Caenorhabditis elegans: one gene and its partners. The protein of the gene in region 1 purifies or fractionates together with the protein of each later gene. This does not show direct contact. Each region holds a gene or a part of one and is shown in the gene's direction. Other genes may lie near its edges. The genes, in order: F26H9.5, spg-7, let-363 and rab-14.

Region 1 (4,297 bases):
TTTGACTAATACTGAACATATTTTGGCAAACATCCCTGGTTTCGTTCAATAAGAATTTTGAAAAAGTGAGCTATAAGTTGAAATTTGTTAAAAAATTTTATCCGAAAATTTTGAAAAACGGCAATTATCGAATTATCGAGAAAATTCTCAGAATGAAATATTAAAATCTCCAGTTTTTTATGTGTTGGGAAGGAAAAAAGTTAAATTGTATTACCAAAAAAAAGACTCACTACAATAAAAGTTTATTAAACTCGATAATTGCCGAATTGCAGAATTCTCGAAAATTTTCGATTGCCGCCTGATTCCAATGTCAACAAGGCAGAAATATATTCCCAAGAGTTTAATGTTTGGGCCAGTCAGTTGTACATTTACAACTACATTATGCAACATTTCCTGTAGCGATTCGGTTTTTAGTACAAACATATAAACAGTTGACCTATTTAATTTCCAATTTATCCCACTCAAAGACACACCCATTGTTCTCACGAATCTTACATCATTATGATGACATTTATGGGGTTATTCAAGTAGTGTCGGAAAATTAAAAAGTGTAGAAAAATTACGTCACAACCTTATTCAAGTAGATAAAAACATGTATTTAAATACATTTGTGACGTCACAAATGTATTTAAGTACATTTTGCTACATTACTTGAATAACCCCATTATAGCCAAAAAACATGAGTTTATCTAAATAAACCATCTGTGTACGTGACTTTCATAACTTTCTTTTTGTTCCATAAAAGAGTCGTCTCATGATAACATCATACCCCTCCCCTCCTCTTCTTTTCCCTGTTCTCCGTCATTTATGCATTCATTTTGTTGCATGGCGGTTGTTGGTACACGTGTACCCCTTTTCTTATCATAATGATCAGCTTGCTAGCTTAGCGATTTATGTCCTCTGACTATTGTCATCTGAATTAGAAGATGTTTGGTATTTGTTATATTTTTGGATAGCTTTTTTTTGAAAAAAAAACATCAGTATTATTTGTTTGATAATTATTTGATAGCGTTGATTTCTCAACCCGAAATTGTTCACTTTTCAAAAATTTTGTTGGATTTTTTAATCTTCCAAATATTTGAAAGCAAACCAAATATAAAAACAAACATAAAGTTTCAAGTTTACTCGTATTTACTAAAAGTTATGGTTATTCTGAATTTTTCTGAAATACGAAATGAAAGGTACACAGTTTTAGTGAGGTGGGTCTCGCCACGAAACAAGTTTATGGTAGTACTTTTTATCATTGCGGCGGTCGCTTTCCTATTTTCCTAACTGTTCTTTTCGAAAATTAAATTTCCTTAAATCTTTTTTATCAAGAAAAACATTGATTTTAAAAGAATTTTCGTTTGAAAAAAACGGAAAGCGCGTTTACAACAACCGCCGAAAAAAGTGCTACCATAAACTTTTTCGAGTGGCGAGACCTGTTCAAATTAATCTGTGCGCCTTTTCAAAATTACGATATTACGAAACCATGAGTTCATGAGAATGCCTACTTTGTGGCGCGAAAGTAGCGGCAGCAGAGAGAACGTGCGGTGACGAGAGATTTAGGTGCCTTCGCTACGAGATATTCCCGCGCCAAAACGGTAGGCATTCTCATGATCTCATGGTCTCTTAATACTTAAATCTTGACCCATCCAACGGATTCTTTTGCAATTTTTTACACAAGAAATTCCAATAAATTGCTTTTGAGTTTAAAATATTCAAAATTATAACTTTAATTCATTTTTAAAAATTTAAATTTAAGTAAATTGAATCGCTGAATTGTTTTTAAACTTCAATCTCTCAGCATCATAAATATACTATTACTCTTCTTCTTTTTTTCTTCTTTTCCTGCAGGAATTCCTGCTCATTGTTCGAAACGTTTGTTTTTTGCGAAACCGCTACTCTATTTTTGCAGAAATCAATAAAACACACTAACCCTCTTCTCCATAAAATGGCAGCTCCCGGACGAAAAATTAACTTTGCTGCTGGTCCAGCAAAGCTTCCTGAAGAAGTTTTACTTAAAATGCAAGAAGAACAACTCAATTTCAATAATCTAGGAGTCAGTGTCATTGGTAAATTAAGAAATATGCGGATATTGTGAGAATTCAAGACAAATTTTCAGAAATGTCGCATAGATCGAAGGAATTCGGAGCTCTTCTCAATGAAACTATCAGTCTTATTCGGGAACTTATGTAAGTTCGATGTTTCTGAAATTATTCTGTAATTAGTTCAACTAGCTAGAGTGATGAAACTTGAAACATTGTGCACCAAGCCTTTTTAAAATTAAAGTGCAAAATGCTTCCATTCCTTCAAAAAAAGAAAAAGAAAACCCGGAAGTGGCATTTAATCTTAATAAAAATCTATTTGCAGGAACGTACCAGACAACTTTGAAATTCTTTTCATGCAAGGCGGCGGAACCGGTCAATTCGCCGCTATTCCTCTCAATCTTAAGGTATAATTTATGATAAGAGTGAAACACGTCTCTGATGGCTTTTGAGACTTCCCTAACTAGAAAAAAATGTTGTTTAAAACAATTTATCATTCCTAGAAAATGAAAAAAAAATCTTATGACTTGAAAAGTTAGGCAAATCTCAATATACCCACAATAAAAAATAAAATATAAAAATAAAGTTTCCTTTATAGGGTGATCATGAACACGCGGACTACATTGTGACAGGCGCGTGGTCTTCAAAAGCAGCAGATGAGGCTGGAAAATATATCAATGTGAAGAAGGTTTTTCAACCATCAAAACCGTATGTCACTGTACCAGATCAAGAGAATTGGGTTCACGATGAAAAAGCCGCATATCTGTATTATTGTGCCAATGAGACTGTACATGGAATTGAATTTACTCCAACTGCTCCAGAATCACATAATGTTCCATTGGTGGCTGATGTTTCTTCGAATTTCATGGCTAGACCATTTGATTTTAAAGATGTAAGCACAACTATGTATATAAAAATCTTTTAGAAAATTAGCCAGATGTTTTATCCTAATTTTACAAGATTTTGGCAAGAGAAAATCTTGTGAAATTACCAAATAAGTTTTATGAAAAAATCATTAACCTTTTTTTAAAAGTTTCATTTCAGCACGGAGTGGTTTTCGGTGGAGCTCAGAAAAACCTTGGCGCCGCTGGTCTTACAATCGTTATTGTTCGGAAAGATCTTATCGGAAAGCAACAAGCAATCACTCCATCTGTCTTCAGTTATAAAGAAATGATTGCAAATAATAGTTTGTATAATACACCACCAACTGGAGGTATCTACACAACAAATCTCGTTCTCAAATGGATAAAATCAAAAGGTGGACTTCAAGCAATCTATGAGCTAAACCTTCAAAAATCTGGAATGATTTATGATATAATTGATAATTCAAATGGTTTTTATCACTGCGCCGTTGACAAACGCTACCGTAGTATTATGAATGTTTGCTTCCGAATTGGCGGTCCATCTGGAAACGATGAACTTGAGGAGAAGTTCTTGAAAGGATCTATTGAACGAAATATGATTAGTTTAAAGGGACATAGATCAGTTGGTGGAATCCGTGCATCGCTCTATAATGCCATCTCAGTCGAGGAGACACAAGTACTTGCCACGTGGATGAATGAGTTCCAGAAACTCCATAATACTAACTAGTCGGGAGACACTATATTTTTCTTGTATTCTTATTCTGAATTTGTCTGTGATTTTTAAAAACCTTCATGTGCCTTTTTGATTGTTTGTATTTGAATTTTTAAAGTGATTTTAAGAACCAATAAATAATGGTTAACATTTTTTGTTTATTTAAAAAAAACAGAAAACTATGAAATTCCAATGACATCAATGTCTTCATCAAGAAAATCTTGTCTTCTCCTTTTTTTTGTTTCAGCAAAAATTGTCTTGCGTCCGTTTATAGTTCCTCCGGCCATTTTCATTACAAATTCCCGGGCTGTACGCTCGAATTTCGGCCAATCCTCTTTAGCAAGCCGCGAGATATTCGGTTGTGACATATCTTCCAATTGAGCAAGATTTCTACGTTCTGGAAGAGTTCATAATTTAATTTTTTAGTTGATATTTAGATAGCCAAGTAGTTTAAAATGTCTTATAAATGTAGAAAGAATTTACCAATATCATATTTCACATTTCGCATTCCTTCCACAATAAAATTATATAAAACTTCCAAATTGGATCGTCGTTCCCATTGAATTCCACGCATGTCCCACTGAATAATTGCAAAAAATTTAAATGTTTTCAAAATTAGGTTTTTAAACTTACGTTTCCATATTTCCCAAGATTCGGATGAAATATAAATGTGTGAAAACAAACTCTTGGAATCA
Region 2 (4,595 bases), 5.8 Mb from region 1:
AATTTTTTAAATATACCGCAACCGGGAAATAAGCCACAGTCTCGTGGCCCTGTGTGACATGAGATCGCAGTGCACAACTTCCACAAAGCGCCAACGATTTGATATCCAAATCCACCTTAAAAAATCATTTTTCAATTTTTTTTTTTTTTTTGAAATTGGATATTTTCCGGACCTCGGCACCCAAATTCTCCACGACGTCGTATTTGAAGGCATCAGTGACGCAATTGCGGCAGACGAACATGCTGGAAATTGAATTTTTTTGTTATTTCTAATTAAAAGAGGCCTACTCCGATTCGTTGTCGTATTTGGTGCATTGAGTGCAGTCCACTGCATTTGCAGGCTTCTTTGGCTTCTCACGAAGCTTTTGGATCATGGTCACAGCATCTGAAAAATAGTTTTTTTCGGGAAATATGAATATTTTTAAAACTTGTCAATGCAAAGTTTTTTGTTCGCTTCTCCTTGCTAACCACGGCCTGAAATTATTTTATTTTTAAACAGATATCAATATATTTAAGCCATACGCGGCATGTCGGGCATTGTGTCTGGCCACCAGATCCATATGCGTCAGAATAATCGCTTTTCAAGTGCACAATGCAAGTTTCGCATAGAGAATGGCCACAAGATATGATGAATGGAGCCTTTTGATCATCTGAAAATAAAAATGTGCTTGTTTTACAATAAAAATTGGGATATTTTTCACCAAATTCTTCCTGGCACACAGGGCAAGTCGGGAGTTCTTCATTAACATCCATTTTTCTCGAAAATTCTGAAAAATAAAGTTTTTTAAATTAGAAAAATCAATATTTTTAAATTTTCGTTATTTTTAATCGTCGAATAATTGAAATTTTCGTTTAAAATTAAGGAAAAACAATTTATACAATTTATATCCGGAAAAATTAATGTTTTTGCAAATATTTGAGTTTCAAGCGTTTTCGCTTCAAGTCTCAAGGAGGATAATGTGCTTGCGCCTTTAAAAACTACAGTAAGACCTTTGTTTATTTCGTCATCGAATTTCAATGTTTTGAATCAAATTTCCCGTGATTCCGGTTTGATTTTCACAATTTTATTATGTTTTTACACTATTTAATGAATTTTAATTCAGTATATAATAAAATCCATAGATTATCCACACTGAAAATCTACCAATACCGTCAGTTTCTCAAAAAAAAAACATTTGCCCAAAAAATGCCTGTTTTCCATGGAAATTCACATTGATTTTTAATTTCACAACGTTTTTTTTGCCAATTTCTTTCCAAAATTTCTCAAAGTACTTTCGCAAACTAATCGTTCACTTTTGCGTCATGGCTCTGTGCACTGGAAACTAATTTCAAACGACGCGCGCATTGTCTTGTGCGATGGAGCGCGCTTGCTATTTTCTAAAAAGTGCTCAGTATTTTTGAAGCTTTATGGTTTTTCCTTGTATTTTGCATAATTTTAAACATTTTTCTCGAGAAAAAATATTCGAAAAAGTAGAAAACGGCTGAAATTTGGTTGTTTTTAATTTTTTCCCTCGTTCCTCAATCTTAAAATCGAAGATTTCGTCATCTCTCACTGTTTGCGCAGTGCATGATTATGATAATTAAATTCTATTGCAGAAATGTGGCGATTATACCGAAAAACGCCGAAGCAGCTGAGAAATTCGGTCGAATCATGCTTCAAATCTGTCAATTCCCGCCAATTTTCAGTCAGCTCATTTTCAGCAGTAGCCAAAGATGATGTAATATTACCGCCTGCCAGTATACTGAAAATTCTGAATTTTTTTGCAGAAATCCGTGCTAAAACAACAAGAAGTTCTGCATCTTCTCGCAAAAGATCAGCGATTTGAAGAGCGATTCTTCAATCAAGTACAGCAGACAATTCGATATTTCGCCTCGAAACCAAATGATTTGAAAAAGTTCTTCAGGAAGGAAGCATCGACGGATAATAAAGGTTTTCAGAGGGAAATTATCATTAATTCGAAGTTTTTTCCAGAATCTTCATCATCTTCTGACAAAAAGGACAGCAAAGGAAATAAGGGAGAGGATAATAATCCGTTTAATCAATTGTGAGGAGGAATAGACACAAAAATCGGCTAATTTTGGCTAAAATCTGAAATTTCGCCCAAATTATCATCATTTAGATGCTTTTCACCACGTTATTTTGTTTATTGAAGTCTCGGAGAAGCCCCGGAAATCATTTCTAGTCGAATTTCTTTGGAGTATTTCAAAAAATTGACTTTTACAGGTTTCCCGGGCCGTATTTTGAACTTTTTGGCAAAAATTGTCCCAAAGATCCGGAAAAAACTTGTAAAATCCAATATTTTTAAAATAAATTGGTGATTTTAGCTAAAATTAGCAGTTTTTTTAAAAAGTTTTATTGGCAGAGCAAAAACCGTGCCAGAGTTGCAAAAATTGGCGTTTTTAGCATTTTCTCCATTTTTCCAGATTTTCAAAAATCGAAAATTCGGGATTTCGGAATCATTTCAATAAAATTCAAAATTTAATGAAATCACGAATTTTCCAAATCGTTGAAAAAAAATTCCGAGAAAAAAAAAACAAAAAAACGCCCATTTTTGCAATTCTGGCACGGTTTTTTGCTCCGCCCACGATGTTTTTGAGCGGGGCACCACGTTTTCAAGATCTACGAGAAGAAGATCTACGTTTTCAGGATCTGGCACCGTGCCAAGTGCAGTTTTCGCAGTTTTCTCGAAGAAAATCGAAATAACGATGCTCCGATATTACGCATCGCGAGTTGTTTAGCGTTTTTCAGAAGTTTTTATTCAAAAAAGGTTTTTCTGACTAAACAACGTGCGATGCGTAATATCGGAGCATCGTTGCTTTTTCTTCGAGTAGACTGCGAAAACCGCAGTTGGCATGGTGCCAGATCCTGAAAATGTAGACCTCCTTTTCGTAGATCTCGTTTCCGGCTAGATCTTGAAAACGTGGTGCCTCTTTTGAGCACATTTACCTTTTCTAAGATTTAAAAGTGGGGTACCGAAATCTGGAAAATATTTTCAAATGTCTCCAAATTTTCTTCTCATTCCAAATATCGATGTGAAAAAAATCAAAACAATTTTCTAGATTTTATATGATTTTTTGAAAATAGGAAAAATCACAGTTTTCACCTAATTATTTTTGAATTTCCGCCAATTGGATTTGTTCGGTGGAGCGTGCTTGCAGTATTTTTATCAATTAATTTTTTTAAATTCTTGTTCTTTGACTGATTTTCTTCATTTTCTATGTTTTCTCCTCGGAAAATGGAAGAAATAAACAAGACAAATGCAAAATTCTTGTTAAAAAGTAATTGAAAATGAGTAAAACTGTGAAATATACTAATTTCAGGCTTGTTGCCGTCGGAACTCAGAATATCACAGTTTTACTCATTTTCAATTACTTTTTAACAAAAATGTTGCATTTGTCTTTTTTATTTCTTCCATTTTCCGAGGAAAAAACATAGAAAATGAAGAAAATCAGTCAAATAACGAGAATAAATAAAATTAATAAATAAAAATAATGCAAGTGCGCTCCACCGAACAAATTCAATTGGCGGAAATTCAAAAATAATTAGGTGAAAACTGTGATTTTTCCAATTTTCAAAAAATCATATAAAATCTGGAAAATTTTTTTGAATTTTAATATCATGATATTCGGTCAATGTGACCCCATAGGCGCGTTTTAAAGCAATTTACCCACTGAGCGTAGTCCACCTTTAAAAAAACGGAGAAAACCTCTAAAACCCCTTAAAATCAATCTAATTCCTCCAATTTTCAGCCCAGGAGGATGGCAACAAATTGCCGTTTCAGTTGGAATTCTGCTCGCTCTCTACGCCTTTATGGATTATCAGTCGTATCGTGAAATTTCCTGGAAGGAGTTTTACAGTGATTTCCTGGAAGCTGGACTTGTCGAGAGACTTGAAGTAGTTGATAAGCGATGGGTTCGAATTGTTAGCTCGTCTGGAAAGTATGCAGGAGTTAGTTTTTTAGTTTTTGCACTGAAATTCGTGAAAAAATGAATTTTTTTCTTTCAGCAAACGTGCTATTTCAACATCGGAAGTGTGGATAGCTTCGAACGGAGCCTCGGAGCTGCTCAGCATCATCTCCAGTATGATGCTGATCGACAAATTCCGGTTTTATATAAATCTGAATTCAATTTGTAAGGATTTCTGCAAAAATCACTCCATTTCAAGAAAAATTAGAGAAAAAAAGAAAAAACCCCCGATTTTCTTAAAGAAAAAGCTCTGGGAAATGGGAAAAGTTATAATTTTTGCATGAAAATTCAGAAAAACTTTTAATTTTTCACATTTTTTGTAGTTAAAATTTTGTTTTTAAAGTGAAAACCTTCAGAAAGTCACTGAAAATGAAAATTTTGCACAAAAATTATGGAAAAAGTTGCTTTTTGCTCGTTTTTTGCACTAAAATTTCAAAAAAAAAATCCGATTTTTCTGATTTTTTGCCTGAAAATTTCAAAAACAAAAATTAATTTTGCTGGTTTTTTGCAGAAAAATTTTTAAAAAAACGCAGTTAGGCTGTTTTTTGCCTAAAAATTCGAGAAAATCTCAATTTTGCTGAATTTTTGCACTAAAAGTCTTTTAAAAAATCCGATGTTTCTGATTTTTTG
Region 3 (4,956 bases), 4.1 Mb from region 1:
TGACCTCCAGGCATATAAATGACCGCATTTTTTATTGGGAGATTTATTTAGTTTTCGTAATTTCAAAAATTAATATCTGACTTAAATTGAACTTTTTTGAAAATGTTTCTTCGGGGACTTGTTTCAAATTTTAAGCGCTTTCAAAATTTAATAACAAAATTTTTCTAGGTGCCAGAAGCTTCCAGTTTAATCAAAAAAACTGACCTCCAGGCATATAAATGACCGCATTTATTTATTGGGAGATTAACTAAGTTTTCATAATTTCAAAAATTAATATCTGACTTAAAATGAACTTTTTTGTCGAAGAATTTTTTCAAGAAATAATTACTTGAAGTTAATTCAATGTTTTACTGAAAACCCATGTTAAAAGTATTAAAACTTGCTATTGAAATTTTATCTAGAAAAAACTATTTTTTGAATTACCTCTGCTATGGGGGAGGCAATTGTGCGGTGGAGCGCACTTGCCGCCCATTTATTATTTTTTGGCAGCAAGGTTTTCTCCAAAATATTCTATTTTTTAATGTTTTCTTTTGTTTTTATTGAATATTTTGCTCTTTATATATGCAAAATTTTGATTTTACCAATTTTCATTCTTTGAGGTTCTTCAAATCTACAATGTGGCGTAGTTTACCGAGTTTGGTGTCTTCGGCTGTTCGGTTAGTTGATAAATCGAAGTTTGTTGAATTCCAGTTAATTTTTGCTTCTTTTAGATCACAAAATGCCGTCAACACACGATTTTCCAGTACAATGAAACAATTTTTCGATGATGAAGCGAATTTTGGAAAAGCAGAGCTCCGCCCGAAACATCGGCCGGGCAGATCGTGGACAGCAGAAGAACTGAGATTAAAAAGCAATTCAGATTTGCATAAGCTTTGGTAATTTAATGGCAATTCGGTTTTAAATTTATTAAAAATTTAAATTTAAGGTATGTGTGCTTGAAGGAGCGAAATATGCTGATAACGATGAAAAAAGCGCACACTTCACGTGCCCGGAACATGCCAAACCCAGAGAGACTTGATCGTGTTCATGAGGTATATTTTAAAAATTTAATAAATGCAAAATGATATATTTCAGACAATGGATCGTATAGAATCAGTAGTTCACGAGCGAAATGATGCGGTCTTCCGTTTGGAAACTGGAGAATCCGCGGCTCCACGCAAGAGAACAATCACTTCATTCGCTGGATTTACATATCAGTGAGTTCCTGATAAAATTAATTTTTTTAAAATAAAAATATGTTCCAGAAAACAAGCCACAGAACACTTTGCACCACCTCAACTCGGCCAGAAAGAATACGAAACTCCATATCTCGACGACGATGCCTACGTGATGCAGAAGCTTTGGCAGGAAAAAGAATTCATGAAAAATCGAGATAGATTGGATGATGAGAAGAGACGAGCGGCACGAACAGAAGACATGGACAGATTCAAGAGAGGAGCTCCACGAGTTTTCAATCGATAAAAAGTTGTTTCTAGATATTTTTTTTGTTTTCGAGTAGGCTTTTAAAAATGTTGTTTGCTTTGCTTCCTTCCTCAGTTTATTTAGTTTTTCAAAGAATATCCATTGTTCTTTTTTCTTGATATTTTGAAATATGCAACGGGTTTTGTCAGCCCATAGTTATCTGATATTACAAAAGGCTCCGTGTTGTTCTCATATTTTTCATTGAAAATCCCTTGATTTACATAGGAAAAAAAACCTAATTTTTAGCTGAAAAAAATTTAAAAAGTGGTAAAAAATTACCTGAAAGTTGTCTATTATCGAACTATCAAGCTATATTTTTCTGAAAACGGCCAGTTTTGAGCACTTTCTTGATTATTTCAGCTGGAAATAATTTTATTTTCGGAAAAAAACCAGTGATTTTCTATGCTTCTGATCATTCTCATAACTTTTTATTCTTAACGTAATTTTAAGCCCACAATGCACTAAATCGGCAGAAACATCTTTGAAAAATGCTCCAACAACACGGAATTAGTTTTCAAATGAATGCCGATAGACAGAACAAAGCAGCCACAACTTCCAATCGAATAGTCTCCGCTCCAGCTACAAATGAATTTGACGAGCGGCATCGTAAAGTTAGTATTTCTTCTCCTTTAAACAATTTTTAAGGAAAAAAAAATCATATTTCAGCAAGGGATTGATGCTGCAAGAGCTCTTGCTTCACAATATCGGAGCCGAATTACGGAAAATAGAGATGCAAATCAACGACAGGCTGCTCGAGAACTCAGCAGGTAGTTTTTTTTTTAAATAAAAGTCAATAAATTAAATATATTATTTTCCTCAGATATGTTCGAAGTGAGCTGAAAGACGAGCCAAATACTTTTAGTGATGCTTTCCTGAATGCAATCGATGGACGAACAGATATAGCCTCTCAGAGTGCAATTTATAATTGTATGAAGTCGAATTCAAATATCGATCAGAAACGAGCCGGTATCTATCTCATCGTGTGCTTAGCTGAAACTCATTCTGGAAATGTTATTCGATATGCGAATTATCTTCTGAAAATGTTAAATAATGGAAATGGATTAGATGAAGATACAGTCAAGATGGCTTCAAAAGCTCTCGCTTTTCTGATTGCGGTAAGTAATTTAATTTTTTTTAAACCAATTTTAAACATTTGCAGACTTGTAAATCATACGCGGCCGAGCTGGTTGATCGTTGTCTTGATCATTGCCACGAATGGCTTGGTCAAAATGTTCCACATAGTCAGCAACCCAAAAATCAACAGGAAATTGATCAAATTCGTCGACTCGCCGCTTCACACCTCTCTCGTGAGCTCGCACTGGCCACACCGACAGCATTCTTTCTTCGTGTAAACTTATTTTTCAAGTATATCTTCAACGCTGTCAGAGACAAGAATCCAGCTGTAAGAATCGCCGGAATTGATGCATTACACGTGGTTTTGACAATTGTTTCACAGCGTGAAGCAAAGAATAAAACTGAGTGGTTTAAGGTGATCAATTAAAATTTTGATCTTTCGTTAGAATGATTTTATATTCCAGAAATGTTTCGATGAAGCACTGGAAGGTCAACCAAACCCATCGCAAAAGGACGATTTGGATAGATGGCATGCCGTCGCCCTGATTCTCAATGAACTTCTTCGAATTTCTGATCAACGATTCGAACTCATCAGATGTGAATCCTCACAGTTTATTAAACAAAAGTTTTTGAAAGAAGACGAAGAAGAAGGTGTTGAATGGCTTGTCCTAACTAAGTAATCGATTCTTTTTCATCTATTTAAAAACTTGTATTTTTAAGGCAACAAACTATTGTGGAAAGTGTGACTGCTCGAAAGCTGGTTTTGGAACGATTTCCGAAGGTAAAAGCTGAAATTCTTCATTTCCCGAAATTTGTTATGTTTTTTTCCAGATACTCGATTGTGTTCGTCAGATAATACCTCTCGCAAACAAAACTTCATCCACGAAACAGCAAAGCTCGATTTACCTGAATACAGTTCTCATGCAGCTTCTACCAAGAATTTGTGCATTTCCACAATGTGATCGAACTTTTCAAACAATCTCATTCGACACTTCATTTACTATGTACGTAGAATGGAAGAGGACTGATGTTTATGGGCTTTTAGCTTTTATAGACTCGAAATGCGCTAAAAACGAATTTTGTAACGAGACTCAAAAAAAATTATGGTGATTCAAAATTTCCAATAATGTTCAATTTTTTCAGTCTTCAAAGAAATGCGGTCGCTGCTCCAGCAATCGGAATGATGATGCTCTCGAATCCAGATGTACATGCCACACATATCGAGAAAACAATCAGTTTTATCTCTGCTGCTATCAAGTAAATTTGAAATTAGTACACTTTTTTTAATAGTTAAATTTTGTAGAAAAACGACGAATTCTGATGTTCTCGATAATTATTTCACATTCCTGTTCCTATTTGTGGATGCTTATCACGAACAAGTGACGACACAAATCAAGGCAATAATTCCACAATTAATGGATATTACCCTGTCTCGATCGCTGGCAAACGTGCTAAAAATGATTATGATGAGAATTCCGAAACTGCGGCTGAATGTTCAAGATGGTGTTATGGCTTCTGTCTATCAAACACTCACTGGATCTCTAATTCCACCAAAATCCGAACCGATTGGAAGGCCTGCGAGTCCTAAAGCTATTTTGCAGGTTTGTTTCGTAGAGAAATTTTATAATTTTGCTCGAAGTAATTTTTTTGAATCTGAAAAGCACATAACATTTTTTAAATAAAGATCAGAATCCCATCAGATTTAAAAACGCTTACAATTTTATCTTTTTTGAAATAATTTTCCGTCAAAGTTTCGACATTTTTCTATATTCGAACCAAGGGCGTCGTTAAAAATTTGTATGATTTTTCGCTTTTTTCAGATATGTTCGAAAAACAAAAGACAGAGAAGCTATAAATTTATCGAAATTATCTTTTGAAAAATAGAGAAATGACCAGAAATTTTTCGAAATTTTTGATTTTTGTTTCCAGAAATCGTAAATTTAAAAGCCGAAAAATCGAAAAAAAAACCTAAACTTTGCGGGGTTTTCAAATATTTTCATAATCAGCAAAATAAGAAAATAGAAATGGCGACTTTTTAAAATTTAAATTTTTCGAACAGATTTCCTATGATATTTTATCATGTTAGCATTAACAATGGTTTTAAATATATTTCTCATTGGCGATATTTCTGTTGTGCAAAGAAGTAAATTCAAAAAATCTCAAATGAGAGTTTTGGGGTTGTATTTATGCAAAAGATTTATATTTCAGAAAGCAGAAACCGATCCAAAAGAGCTTCAACGAATCGTGCTGGCTGTCGATGTGCTCGGTGAATTCTATTTCTCAAGAGGTGCCTTGCAGAGAATCATGCAATACGTTGCAGATGTACGTTCGAAAGTTTTCTCGATTTTTCTGTAATTTTGTGGTTTTTCAGTACTACTTGACAGCGGACAATGTGGAAATCCGTTTGGCTGCTGTCTCTTC
Region 4 (4,147 bases), on another chromosome or scaffold:
GCAGGTCCGATTGAAGAATAGCAGATTGGAAGCGTCGTGCCAAAATTCTTTGGATCAATCTTCGGAGCATTGCGAACTCTATAGTGGTACTCTGCTTTGACATTTGGGAAGACGACATTCTTCTTGGCTAGAACATCGTAAAACACCCTTGGACGACTTGAGGTATTTCCAACAAAAGGAAGAGTTGTGGGCCTCCTTCTTGAAACGGCATCCTGACGAACTGGTTCAGAAAGATCTTTTGCGGTTTTTCTGACTCCAGTTCTAGGATTGGCTACGGTTTTGGTTTTGCATTTTGTACGAGCCATACCCTGAAAAACAAAAAAAATAATGTTTAGGGAACATTGTTACAAAAGGAGAAGAAGCAAATGAGATAAAGTTGGTAGACTACAGACAAGAAAATGCAAAGAATGATAACCCTAGAATTGGTAAGAATGAAGGGGTGTTATTGCGAAACATTACTGGCTGCGAGGGTTTCACAATGAATTTTCCGTTTTTTTTTTTTTTAATATTTCGCAATACTACATTGTAGATGACTAGAGGGAGGACCGCCCTTCTTCACATATCACAGAAACGACGAGAGGAATCGGAAGAGAGCGCGTGGCGATGAGAGAAGCTCGTGCATCAGCAGGTATTGCGAAATATCATCGCGGCACTACGATCAACACAAGTGTCAGAGAAGGAAACTACGGGGACCGAAACGAGAGATAGAGAATGAGTGGGTAGATGGTCGAATAGTGATAAAATCAAATGTCTCGAGAACTGTAAGACTGTTCACAAACGAGTTGTAACCGATTAGGGGAGCCATGGTTGGAAATTGAAGTCATAATTTGCAATTTGATTAGGCTATTAAGCATATTTAATATTATAGTATTTTACTCTGTTCTGAAGATGAATTTGAAGAGCAAAACAAGAAGCAGGAGGAAATAATTGTTTTTTCCATGTCTTAGGCATCTACGTATATGAAAAAGAAAAAGCATGATCTCTTTGGAACAAGGAAAAAGATAGCTGGCTCAACACCAATGACAGATGAATAAGGAGAAAAGCTAGAGCCCACACACACGTGCGCATTCACTCGTCATTTCACTCTTCTCTCTTTTTGTCTCTCTACGTGTTTTTTTCTTCATCTCCAATCCGTCTCCTACGCGGCACATAAGGCGAGAGTCAGACAGCACAGTACAGCGCACACCGAGAGCGAGACGTTAGAGACACGCAGTAGAGACCAGTTCCGTTGCAAGCGTCGCGGTCGATAGTACGCGACGCGTCGTTTCTCAGAGAAGACAGAGATAGAGGAATGGAGGGGCCCCCGTTTTTGTCCAGTGTCTCTTTCCTCGTGATATTCCATTGCGTAGCACTCCTCGTACAACTGCTCCTCTCTCTCTCTCCGACATTGCCTCTTTTAGCTTTCTGGAGGCCAATGGATTCTCTATTGCTTTTGGACGTGGCGTTCATCTTTCTCTATCCCAACTACTTCCACATTTGTCTCTCTCTCCCCGTCGGTTTTCCCCTACTTCCAACTAATGACAACTTGGCAGTCAGTCTCTAATAGCCACTTTCTTTTGTGTGGTCTATCTATTCTCATTGCTACTTTTTTGTATCCTTTTTTCTGAAACGAATAACCAAAATATAATCCGCAACTTTCAGGTAACAAAAACACATAAAAATGACGGCTGCTCCTTACAATTATTCGTATATTTTCAAATATATTATTATTGGTGATATGGGTGTCGGAAAATCGTGTCTTCTTCATCAGTTCACAGAAAAGAAGTGTAAGTCCCGCATTCCTGGAAAATCGATATATCATGTTGTTTGTGTCAACATTAGTCATCAACAAGAGACCTGTTCCTCCGGTCAATAACCACCGTACAATCACTGCGGGCAACAAACGCAAAAACTAACTATAACTAACTTTCAGTCATGGCCGACTGCCCGCACACAATCGGCGTGGAATTCGGCACCAGGATTATTGAGGTCAGCGGACAGAAGATCAAGCTTCAAATCTGGGACACGGCGGGCCAGGAGCGATTCCGCGCTGTGACGCGATCATATTATCGTGGAGCAGCCGGAGCCTTGATGGTCTACGACATCACTCGCCGTTCTACCTACAATCATTTGAGCAGCTGGTTGGCCGACGCAAAAAGCTTGACCAATCCAAATACGGTAGGTAAAATATATACTTGGTTTATAATTTTTACTCAAAAGTAGGGTTGAAAAATATATAAAAACTCGAATTTATACTTTATAAAAGCATTCCCAAGTTCCAAAATTAAAGCGAATTTGAACTTTCAGCAAAATTTCAAAACTACATAGATGTACGCCATGTTTAGTAAATTGCAATTTATGAATTTTTGCAAGCATAACATTTATTTGCAGCTCAAAAGATCGTAGACTATAAACTGAATTTCAATCAAAATTCTCATGAATCAGATTTAAGCTGGAAAACATTCAATCTGTATGTGCTCTAAATTGTGTGTTTTATCGTTAAACTAATATCTAAAAAAAACGAGTTAAAATTGGGTTATCTAGTTTTATTTGGAGAGTTAAAAATCTACCTGTATTAGTAAGAAAACAGTATTTCGTCCACTTTGCACTGATTTAATTTTACAATAAAAATGAGATTCAAGCACCAATTCTCACAAGTTCCTTTTTCAGGCCATCTTTCTTATCGGAAACAAAGCCGACCTCGAAGATCAACGTGACGTGCCATACGAGGAAGCAAAAGCTTTCGCCGAAGAAAACGGGCTCACTTTCTTGGAGTGCAGTGCGAAGACGTAAGTTTCTTCCCCCCACCCCCCCACTGCAAATTCATCAATTTCAAATGGCTTTTTTTTCAGTGGCAGTAACGTCGAAGACGCTTTCCTCGAAACGGCCAAGCAAATCTATCAGAATATCCAAGACGGAAGTTTGGACTTGAACGCCGCCGACACTGGCGTCCAGCCAAAACAGAACTTGCCACGTGCAGCTGAAAATAATGGGAAGAAGGACTGCAACTGCTAGTTGATGTGTGCAAAGTCCCTTCTTCCCCTCAAATCATTCCCAATTGATTTTAATGTATTTTTTTAAATTATTACTTTCTAATCCGTCTATCTGTATGTGAGAGCTTGTCACCCATTATCATTAAAATGCCAGAAGAATCAACATTGGGTGGTATGGTTTCTTGTTTCCAAATTCTAGTTGCCTGTCAAAATCTAAACTTGTAATCACTATAAAACTACTCTGAAATTCAGAACTTTGTGTCACTTTTACTTACCAATTCCCAGTCTTTTTCAGTCCCCCACCCATTACTCACTATCATCATCGAACTGTGAACCGTTCATAATATAACACTTTCGCTCACCCAACCAACTGCATATTTAGTAGATTTTTTCTGTCAAAAACCGTTTTGAACATTTTTCCCCCATTCCTTGTGTGATAAGAAACATCTATATGATCCCACCCCATTAAGTGCTATAATTGTGCTTTGAAAATCAAAAAAACTAACGATTTTTGTCATTTTTGTCACTTTTCCTTATAAATAGTTCTCTGTTGTTAGTTTTATGAACCTATGATTTCAGAAAACTTTTTCAAAATTTATTTTTTTTGTTTAATCATTTTTCAGCAAAATTCAATTGTACATATAATATTTAAAAAAACTATTCATTGAAGCATGAAGTGCTCAATCTTCAAAGTTAACATCACCAGTAATAGTCAAATGTGTTTTCAAGTGTGCGTAAATTTTTCTAATGACAGAGTAATCCGTGGCTGAAATGGGATTCTAGTCACGGGTGGGCAGCAAACGATTGTTTCCGGCAAATCGGCAAATCGGCAGATTGCAGGAATTGCAGATTTCCGGCAAATCGGCTAATCGGCAAATTGCCGATTCGCCAAATTTGCTGGAAAAAAAGAAACTTGCCAAAAAATTTCTGCAAATTGTGGTTTCGCACTTATTTTTTTGGAAATTTTAGAATTCCAATTTCAAATGACAAAATTTTACGCATCCTATGAATATTCCTACATCTATTTCGAAAAGTAAGCAAATTCTATGAAAATATGTAGACAAAACGGAAAAAATTCAAAAAAAAACGGTTTTAAGAGTTTCCGTTCTATAAAAAGTCCCTCTAAAAATTTCCGGGAAATCTGATATTCGGCAAACGGCAAATCGGCAACTTGC

The links.
Region 2: the proteins of F26H9.5 (region 1) and spg-7 fractionate together in Caenorhabditis elegans (co-fractionation; one large-scale study listed by BioGRID). This does not show direct contact.
Region 3: the proteins of F26H9.5 (region 1) and let-363 fractionate together in Caenorhabditis elegans (co-fractionation; one large-scale study listed by BioGRID). This does not show direct contact.
Region 4: the proteins of F26H9.5 (region 1) and rab-14 fractionate together in Caenorhabditis elegans (co-fractionation; one large-scale study listed by BioGRID). This does not show direct contact.

What each region holds. Positions count from the first base shown.
Region 1 is NC_003279.8:9,312,089-9,316,385, reverse strand, and holds F26H9.5 (putative phosphoserine aminotransferase), read left to right. Parts: upstream 1-1,897; 5' UTR 1,898-1,933; coding exon 1,934-2,054; intron 2,055-2,104; coding exon 2,105-2,174; intron 2,175-2,352; coding exon 2,353-2,434; intron 2,435-2,625; coding exon 2,626-2,919; intron 2,920-3,071; coding exon 3,072-3,617; 3' UTR 3,618-3,751; downstream 3,752-4,297. Other genes in the region: uev-3 (Ubiquitin-conjugating enzyme E2 variant 3), read right to left, coding at 3,782-3,999, 4,086-4,182, 4,236-4,297. UniProt on the Caenorhabditis elegans protein: Catalyzes the reversible conversion of 3-phosphohydroxypyruvate to phosphoserine and of 3-hydroxy-2-oxo-4-phosphonooxybutanoate to phosphohydroxythreonine.
Region 2 is NC_003279.8:3,465,537-3,470,131, forward strand, and holds the start of spg-7 (AFG3-like protein spg-7), read left to right. Parts: upstream 1-1,595; 5' UTR 1,596-1,597; coding exon 1,598-1,717; intron 1,718-1,766; coding exon 1,767-1,929; intron 1,930-1,971; coding exon 1,972-2,044; intron 2,045-2,585; exon of another isoform or gene 2,586-2,651; intron 2,652-3,749; coding exon 3,750-3,948; intron 3,949-4,005; coding exon 4,006-4,130; intron 4,131-4,595. Other genes in the region: Y47G6A.14 (RING-type domain-containing protein), read right to left, coding at 17-115, 173-242, 288-384, 428-473, 522-649, 701-752.
Region 3 is NC_003279.8:5,243,832-5,248,787, forward strand, and holds the start of let-363 (Target of rapamycin homolog), read left to right. Parts: upstream 1-1,911; 5' UTR 1,912-1,949; coding exon 1,950-2,072; intron 2,073-2,127; coding exon 2,128-2,228; intron 2,229-2,281; coding exon 2,282-2,576; intron 2,577-2,620; coding exon 2,621-2,950; intron 2,951-2,999; coding exon 3,000-3,211; intron 3,212-3,255; coding exon 3,256-3,316; intron 3,317-3,366; coding exon 3,367-3,539; intron 3,540-3,678; coding exon 3,679-3,792; intron 3,793-3,838; coding exon 3,839-4,136; intron 4,137-4,743; coding exon 4,744-4,857; intron 4,858-4,906; coding exon 4,907-4,956. Other genes in the region: mrpl-47 (Large ribosomal subunit protein uL29m), read left to right, coding at 562-656, 711-875, 926-1,031, 1,075-1,196, 1,245-1,461. UniProt on the Caenorhabditis elegans protein: Serine/threonine-protein kinase that regulates the mRNA translation machinery, probably by modulating the activity of translation factors such as eIF-4G and eIF-2. It may have some protein kinase activity instead of lipid kinase activity.
Region 4 is NC_003284.9:15,604,130-15,608,276, reverse strand, and holds rab-14 (Ras-related protein Rab-14), read left to right. Parts: upstream 1-1,641; 5' UTR 1,642-1,660; coding exon 1,661-1,766; intron 1,767-1,912; coding exon 1,913-2,157; intron 2,158-2,649; coding exon 2,650-2,768; intron 2,769-2,831; coding exon 2,832-2,994; 3' UTR 2,995-3,642; downstream 3,643-4,147. Other genes in the region: Protein nipi-3, read right to left, coding at 1-305.